2 linked regions of the Callithrix jacchus genome follow. The protein of the gene in region 1 purifies or fractionates together with the protein of each later gene. This does not show direct contact. Links are inferred from orthologs where the notes say so. Each region holds a gene or a part of one and is shown in the gene's direction. Other genes may lie near its edges.

The links.
Region 2: the proteins of LMNA (region 1) and KPNA6 purify together in Homo sapiens (affinity purification with mass spectrometry; 4 studies listed by BioGRID and IntAct, with this or other methods). This does not show direct contact. The link is inferred for Callithrix jacchus from reciprocal best matches to the Homo sapiens genes LMNA and KPNA6.

The regions. Positions count from the first base shown.
Region 1 is NC_133519.1:16,506,408-16,510,939, forward strand, and holds the start of LMNA (lamin), read left to right. Parts: upstream 1-1,615; 5' UTR 1,616-1,822; coding exon 1,823-2,178; intron 2,179-4,532.
Region 2 is NC_133508.1:68,747,144-68,751,540, forward strand, and holds the start of KPNA6 (importin subunit alpha-7), read left to right. Parts: upstream 1-1,499; 5' UTR 1,500-1,502; coding exon 1,503-1,596; intron 1,597-4,397. UniProt on the Homo sapiens protein: Functions in nuclear protein import as an adapter protein for nuclear receptor KPNB1. Binds specifically and directly to substrates containing either a simple or bipartite NLS motif.

The DNA.
Region 1 (4,532 bases):
TTTGGGAGCCGAGGCAGGCAGATCACCTAGGGTCAGGAGTTTGAGACCAGCCTGGCCAACACGATGAAACCCCGTTTCTACTAAAAATACAAAAAAAAAAAAAAAAAAAAAAAAAATTAGCTGGTTGTGGTAGCAGGTGCCTGTAATCCCAGCTGCTCAGGAGGCTGAGGCAGGAGAATTACTTGAACCTGAGAGGTGGAGTTTGCAATGAGCCGAGATCTCGCCATTGCCCTCTAGCCTGGGTGACAGAGCAAGACTTCGTCTTAAAAAAAAAAAGGATGAGGTGGCTGTTGGGACCAGGATGGGGGCCAAGATGGTGGAAGGCTGATCAAAGGGGTCCTTGGTGAGGCCTGAGGATGGAGGCTCCAGAGCCTGAGGTAGAGAAGCCTGGGGACCTGGGTGATCCCGTTTTGTGAGAGAGCCCAGTCCCTCCCCAGAGCCAGCTACAAAATGGACCTGGCCATGGAAACTAGAGATGAGTGATGTACTGGACTTTGCAGCTAGCAAGGCTGTGGGGTCTTTGCTGTTCCTGCCCCCCACTACCTTCTTCCCCCCACTACCTTCTTTCTGGCTGAAACCAGGATAGAGACCCAACATTGACTGTCCAGCTCCTAGCTCTGCTTCCCCTTTCAGGCCCCTCTGGGAACCACAGAAATCTGGGACCCGATGTCCTGGCAACATAATGAATACACGAACAGCTCTGGTATCTGTTTTAAATTATCCATTAAAATAAGTACAGCTCTGGGGGAAAAAATAGTTGACTGGGTGGGGTAAGCAGTAGGAAGGGACTGAAGGAGGAAGGAACCAGGCAGTCTCCTTTTCCAACTGCTTGGGTCCAAAGGAAAGGACAGGAGATGGGAGGGGGCAGTGCCTGACTCCTATTCTTGGCCTTCTTTAGGGGACTGCGGCTTGTTGCTTGGGTCTAAAAACGAATGCTTGGTTTTGAAGGGAGATAGATTGGGGCAAAAGATAGGAAAAAAGGGACCCCAAGTTCCTGGATCCCTGCCCCCAAATTGGGGACTTAAAGGAACTTAGGTTCCAGAACTTTGCTCCCCCCAGGGTCCCCAGGCATTCCTTCTCCACCCCACTCCTGGCACACTGAGATGCAGCTCTGAATGGGCTGCCCACGTGTGGAGGGGGAAAGGGGTGACTCACTATTACTACTGGGAGGACAGGGGGAGCCAGTGGTGGAAGAAGGGTGAGTCACACTGGTGGGCACCAGCCTCAACCCTCCCCCCACTTTCCTGGCTCCCAGCCCTGCCTGACCCTCTCCCTTGCTTTGCACCCAGTTCCCCCTCTCTCTTCCACCCTTTGCCCACCCACTATCCCTCCTTGGCTCTGCCCTCTAGCCAGAAGGTCTGAGGCAGTGGGGGCAAGCTTGGAGCCCGAGGTGCTGAGCCGGCAGAAGCCGAGAGAGGGGAAGCGTAAGGCTCACGCAGTTGGGAGTGCGCTGGAGAGGGTGGGGCCCGACTTTGCCACAGCCCTGCGGTCCTTGCCCCTCCTCTGCACACCCGCGCCCCCACCCCCGTGGATCTGGGACTTCCCCTTTAAGAGCAGGCCCCTCCTCCCTTCAAAGGAGGACCTATTAGAGCCTTTGCCCCGGCGCCGGTGACTCAGTGTTCGCGGGAGCGCCGCACCTACCCCAGCCAACCCAGATCCCGAGGTCCGACAGTGCCCGGCCCGATCCCCACGCCTGCCAGGAGCAAGCCGAGAGCCAGCCGGCCGGCGTACTCCGACCCCGAGCAGTCTCTGTCCTTCCGCCCGAGCCCCGCGCCCTTCCCGGGACCCCTGCCCAGCGGGCAGCGCTGCCACCCTGCCGGCCATGGAGACCCCGTCCCAGCGGCGCGCCACCCGCAGCGGGGCGCAGGCCAGCTCCACTCCGCTATCGCCCACCCGCATCACCAGGCTGCAGGAGAAGGAGGACCTGCAGGAGCTCAATGATCGCTTGGCGGTCTACATCGACCGTGTGCGCTCGCTGGAGACGGAGAACGCAGGGCTGCGCCTTCGCATCACCGAGTCTGAAGAGGTGGTCAGCCGCGAGGTGTCCGGCATCAAGGCCGCCTACGAGGCCGAGCTCGGAGATGCCCGCAAGACCCTCGACTCAGTGGCCAAGGAGCGCGCCCGGCTGCAGCTGGAGCTGAGCAAAGTGCGTGAGGAGTTTAAGGAGCTGAAAGCGCGGTGAGTTCGCCCAGGTGGCTGCGTGCCCGGCGGGGAGTGGAAAGGGCGGCGGGCCGGCGCCCCTGGCCGGCTGCAGGAAGGGAGTGAGAGGGCCTGGAGACGGATAACTTTGCCAGAGAGTCTCCTCCCTCCCCGGAACTGCCCCCAACGGGTGATGGCCAGTGTCTAGGGGAATTGTCAAGACAGGACAGAGAGGGGAGAGGTCTCTGGGAGAGGTGGGAGGATATAAGGAATAGTGACACAGAGAGGGGAGAGGTCTCTGGGAGAGGGTGGGGGGATATAAGGAATTCACAGTGGGATTTGCCAGCTATTCGGAGCCTAAGGGAGGGGCTTGAGCAAAACAAAACTATCCCTGTCAGCTCCAAGAACTTTGGGCACCCAGGACACATTGGAGTGGCAGAAAGGGTCCTGTTAGAACTTCGTTGGTGGGCCTGGCACTGTGCCAGCTTTACCCAAGCTGCCTCTGAACACATGATGCCCACTAAGACATAACTCCCAAGCTGGCATCTGTCCAGCATGTTGGAGAGAGGTCAGGAAGGCAGGGCAGTCCCCCTTTTCCCCTCCACAGGCTTGGCGGTGGCCCCCCTCGGCATGACCTTGCCCTGGGTTCTAAGGGTTGGGAAGCTCTCCCTCACTCTGCCTGTCTGGGACCTTCCTTGGGCTCTGACAGGCCCACCAAAACAGCTCAGGGAGAAGGGAGATTGGCTCCCCCGCAGCTCCCACAGCCCTTGGCCTGCTTGGCCCAGGAATGCAAAGGAGGGAGGGAGACAGAGGGCAGAGGCTCCCAGCTCAGGCAGAGGCTCCCAGCTCAGGAAGTTGTGTTATGCCCAGGTCTGGCCGCACTCCTCCCTTGGCCCTCTGCCCAGTGTCTTCGAGGGTTAGGGGCACTGTCCTTTCCTCCTTGGGGTGAGCCACTCTCATTTTCCCAGCCAGGCCAAGAAGTCTTTGCTGTGGCCCATTCTCTCAGCTGCTGACGTTTTGATCTTTGCCTTATTAAAGTGCTGGAATACAATGACATTTTTGAAATCCAGCCGTTGGAAGCTTCAGGCCACTCCCACTTCACCCACTCCTGCCCCACCCTACCCCACCCTACTCAACTCCACCTTCTTTTCTAAAAAAGCCTTTGGGAGCTTGGAAGTATAGGCCCTCCTCTTCCAGCCTCCCACAAAATTTGGTTCCCTTCTTCTTGCTCTTCTTTTGTCCATTCAGACCCAGGCCAAGAGCACCAAGGGTGCTTGGAGATCCGTAAAGCACTGCTGGCTCTGACTCTTCTTCTCTCCCTTTATATCATCTACTCCAAACTCCTGCTCTTCTCAGAAGCCCTCTGTGCATTCTGTGGTCGTTCTACCCTTTGCTAGTTGTGGTGGGTAGATCCATCGCTCTTCTTTCTGAAGAATCCATGGAAGTTGCGTGTAGGAAGACGGGCTCAACTTTTATTTTGTTTTTTGGATTTTTTTTTTTTGAGATGGAGTCTCGCTCTGTTACCCAGGCTGGAGTATAGTGGTGTGATCTTGGCTCACTACAACCTCCACCTCCTGAGTTCAAGCAGTGCTCCTGCCTCAGCCTCCTAAGTAGCTGGGATTAGAGGCACCTGCCACCACACCCAGCTAATCTTTGTATTTTTAGTAGAGATGGGGTTTCGCCATGTTGGCCAGGTGGGTTTCGAACACCTGACCTCAAGCAATCTGCCAACTTCAGCCTCCCAAAGTGCTAGGATTACAGGCATGAGCCACTGTGCCTGGCTTCTGTTTTTCTTTAGACAGGATCTCACTCTGTTACCCAGGCTGGAGTGCAGCGGCAAGGGCATGTCTCACTGCAGCCTCCACCTCCCTGGCTGAAGCCATCCTTCCACCTCAGCCTCCTGAGTAGCTGGGCAGGCACCACTACCCACAGCTAACTCTTTTGTATTCTCTTTTGTAGAGATGGGGTTTTGCCATGTTGCCCATGCTGGTCTTGAACTCCTGGGTTCAAGCAATCCTCCTGCCTCAGCCTCCCAAAGTGCTGGGATTACAGGGCTTGAGCCACTGTGCCCAGCCTCAAACTGTATTTCTGCTGAAAGAGACCACATCTGTCCTTTTATTTATTTATTTATTTTAAGACAGGGTTTTACCATGTTGTTCAGGCCGGTCTTGAACTCCCGACCTCAGGTGATGTGCCGGCCTTGGCCTCCAAAGTGCTTGTATTACAGGCATGAGCCACCATGCCCGGCCCTTTTCTTTATTTTTATTGTATTTTTCAGAGCCTTGTTGCTCAGGCTAGAGTGCAATGGTGCAGTTGTAACTTGCTGCAACCTAGAACTCCTCCTAGGCTCAAGCGATCCTCCTGGCTCAGCTTCCCCAGTAGCTGAGACTAAG
Region 2 (4,397 bases), on another chromosome or scaffold:
TGAAAGCAGTTTACTTTGATTATTGCTTTTGCCCGGGTCTAAAGACAAGGCTTTAGTTAACTTGAATTTGGTATTAGATACTAGCAGGAGTCAATGCCTTCTTTAGATAATTACAGCCTATATTAGTTTGCTAGGGCCACTATAACAAAGAACCACAGATTGGGTGGTTTAAACAACAGAAAAGTATTTTCTCACAGTTGTAGTGGCTAGAAGTCTGAGATCAAGTTGTCAGAAGGGACCAGGCACAGTGGCTCATAGCTGTAATCCCAGCACTTTGGGAGGCCAGGGCAAGCCTATCATGATGTCAGAAGATCGAGACTATCCTGACCAACATGGTGAAACCCCATCTCTACTAAAAATGCAAAAATTAGCTGGGCATGGTGGCGGGCGCCTATAATCCCAGCTACTTGGGAGGATGAGGCAGGAGACTAGCTTGAACCCAGGAGGCAGAGGTTGTAGTGAGCCAAGGTCACACCACTGCACTCCAGCCTGGTGACAGAGCAAGACTCTGTCTCAAAAAAAAAAAAAGTTTACAGAAGAGTTGGTTTCTTAGACCTTTGTTATTTATTGGCTTCTAGATAGCTGTCTTCATGTTCACATGGTGTTCTCCCTCTCTTGTTTTAAGGATACCAGTTATGGATTAGGGCCTACCCCAGTAACTTTATTTACCTTAATTACCTCTTTAGGGACTCTATTTCCAAATTCAGTCACATTTTGAGGTATCAGGGTTTAGGACTTCATCGTATGAATTTGGAGCAGACGATGATTCAGGCATTTTAGGGCCCATACCTATTTTGTATTATCATTGCTAGTTTTTTTGGTTTTGAAAGCTTAGAAAGTGCATGGCAACATTAGACATTTATTCCCTAGAAATGGAAGGTGTAACTTCAGAGACCTATTCACTTTGAGAGAGTTCCTTGTCTAAGAAAACCCACAGAAAACTGGATGCAGTGGCTCATGCCTGTAATCCCAACATTTTGGGAGGCTGAGGTGGGTGGATCACCTGAGGTTGGGAGTTCGAGACCAGCCTGACCAACATGGTGAAATCCTGACTCTACTAAAAATACAAAAATTAGCTGGGCATATTGTCAGGCGTCTGTAATCCCAGCTACTTGGGAGGCTGAGGCGGAGAATCACTTGAACCCAGGAGGCGAAGGTTGTGGTGAGCCGAGATCATGCCACTGCACTCCAGCCTGGGCAACACAGTGAGACTCTCAAAAAGAGAGAGAGAGAGAGACAGAGACAGAACCCAAAGACAGTCTAGGACAGTCAGATGCTAGAAAAGATTTATTCGTATTGTAGATCTTAAAAAATTCATCGACAGCAAGTAAGGGAGTACATAATGGAAAAAGCCACTGGCCTGCTGTTTCCCTGAGATTCCAGATGTGCTTTTGCAGATGTTCCTCCTTCCAATCTAACCTCCCTTGTCTGCTTCCCCAGTGAGGTCATAAGCAAATATTTGTGTTAGTTTCTTGTCACCATGGTGACTAAAGAAGCTCAGCATGGTGCTCCTTCCAGCTTCACTGTCAGCTGTGCTTGAAGGAGAGGCTAGCGTCCAGGACAGCCTAGGCTCAGTCATGAAAAGCCACGTGTCAGGTAAATAGGGGACAGCAGTTCACAGTGCTGCCTTTAGAAATCTGTCCTCTACCATGTTAGTCTCACAGGGATAATCAGGCCTCAAAGGGAGTGCAGTGGCACAGACACAGCTCACTTATAGCCTCAACCTCCTGGGCTCAAGTAATCCTCCTGCCTCAGCCTCCCAACTAGCTGGGACTGCAGGTGTGTACCACCATGCCAAGATAATTTTTGTATTTTTTGTGGAGATGGGGTTTCACCATATTGCTCAGGCTGCTCTGGAACTCCTGGGCTCAAGCAGTCTGCCCACTTTGGCCTCCCAAAATTCTGGCAATATAGGCTTGAGCCCAGGCTACAATGCCAGTTTAAAAAAAAAAAGAAAAAGATTATTCCAACCTGGCCAACATGGAAAAACCCTGTCTCTACTAAAAATAAAAAAGTTAGCTGGGCATGGTGGTGGGCACCTGTAATCCCAGCTACTCAGATTACAAGAAACTCACTCAAGAAAATCACTTGAATCCAGGAGGCGGAGGGTACAGTGAGCTGAGGTCGCACCACTGCACTCTAGTCTAGGTGACAGAGCAAGACTCTGTCTCAAAAAAAAAAAAAAACTTCGTGGTAAAATGTATGTAACAAAATTTTTCATTTGAGTGTACAATTCAGTGGCATTAATTACAATTACACTGTTATGTGACCATCATCACCAATATCTATTTCCAAACATTTTACTGCCTCTAACAGAAATTTTTTTTTTTTTTTTTTTTGAGACGGAGTTTCGCTCTTGTTACCCAGGCTGGAGTGCAATGGCACGATCTCAGCTCACCACAACCTCTGCCTCCTGGGTTCAGGCAATTCTCCTGCCTTAGCCTCCTGAGTAGCTGGGATTACAGGCACGCGCCACCATGCCCAGCTAATTTTTTGTAATTTTAGTAGAGACGGGGTTTCACCATGTTGATCAGGATGGTCTCTATCTCTCATGATCCACCCGCCTCGGCCTCCCAAAGTGCTGGGATTACAGGCTTGAGCCACCGCGCCCGGCCCAGAAATTCTTTACCCACTAAGAAATACCTCCCTATTTTCCTTTCCTCTCAGCACCTGGTAACCTCTAAGCTACTTTCTGTCTCTGAGTTTGACTCTAGGGACATCAAGTAAGTGAAATAAGATTTGTCCTTTTGTGTTTTGCTTATTTCACTTAGCATGTTAATTTCAAGGTTTGATCATATTGTAGCATGTATTAGACCTTCATTGCTTTTTATGGCTGAATGATATTCATGGTATACATATACAGTAGTCCTTTTCTTATCCAGAGGGAATATATTTCAAGATCCCCTGTAGATAGCTGCAATGGCAGATGGTACCAAACCCTATATACTATGTTATTTCCTATACATACATACCTATGACAAGGTTTAATTTATAAATTAGGCCCAACAAGAGATTAAAAACAATAATAAGAGAACAGTTATAACAGTATGCCAGCATCATCACTCTTACACTTTGTTAAGTAAAATAAGGATTACTTGAACACAAACCCTGCAATATCTGCTACGAGCTGGCAGTGTATATAGTGTGGATACACTGTACAAAGAGATGATTCATGTCCCAGTTGGAATAGAGCGGGTTAGTGTGAGATTTCATTATGCTACTTGGAATAATATGAAATTTAAAACTTATGAATTGTTTATATCTGGAAATTTCCATTTAATATTTTCAGACCACAATTGTCTATGGGTAACTGACACTTTGCAAAGCAAAACTGTGAATAAGGGAGGAATAGTATAAGAGTACAATTGCTGGATTATATAGTAGTTACGTTTAATTTTTTTAGAAACCACTATTCTGTTTTCCACAGTGGCTGTACCATTTTCCATTCTTACCGGCAATCTACCAGGTTCTAGATTCTAGCCAATGTGTGCTTTTATTATTTTTATTCCATCCTAGTAGGTGTGGATTAGTATCTCATTGTGGTTTTTAAAACTTTTTTTTTTAAAGATGGAGTTTTGCTCTTGTTGTCCAGGCTGGGGTGCAATGGCGTGATCTCAGCTCACCTCAACCTCCGCCTCCCAGGTTCAAGTGCCTCAGCCGCCTGAGTAGCTGGGATTACAGGTGTGCACCACCATACCCGGCTAATTTTGTATTTTTAGTAGTGGGGGGGTTTCTCTATGTTGGTCAGGCTGGTCTCAAATTCCCGACCTCAGGTAATCAGTCTGACTCGGGCTCCTGAAGTGTTGGGATTATAGGCGTGAGCCACTGTGCCTGGCCTAAAACTTTTTTATTTATGTTTTTCAATCAGCTTTCTCAGGTTGAGTCATTGTAACTCTACCTCCTGAGTTCAAGTGATTCTCTTGCCTCAGTTTCCCAAGTGGCTGGGATTACAGGTGCCGGTCACCGCCACACCCAGCTAACTTTTGTATTTTAGTAGAGACGGGGTTTCACCATGTTGGCCAGACTGGTCTCAAACTCCTGACCTCAAGTGATTCACCAGCCTCGACCTCCCAAAGTGCTGGGAGTACAAGCATAAGCCACCGTGCCCAACCTTGATTTGTATTTCTCTAAGGACTAATGATGTTGAACATCTTCTCATATGCATATTGGCCATTTATATATGCTTTTAGAGAAATGTCTATTCAAATTGTTTACCCATTTTTAAATTGGGTTGTCTTTTTGTTCAATTGTAGAAATTCTTTATTCTGGATGTTAAACCGTAATCAGATACGTAATTTGGAAATATTTTCTCTCATTCTAGAACATGTCTTTTCACTTTCTTGCTGGAGTGCAGTGGTGCGCTCTTGGCTCACTGCAAGCTCTGCCTCCTGGGTTCA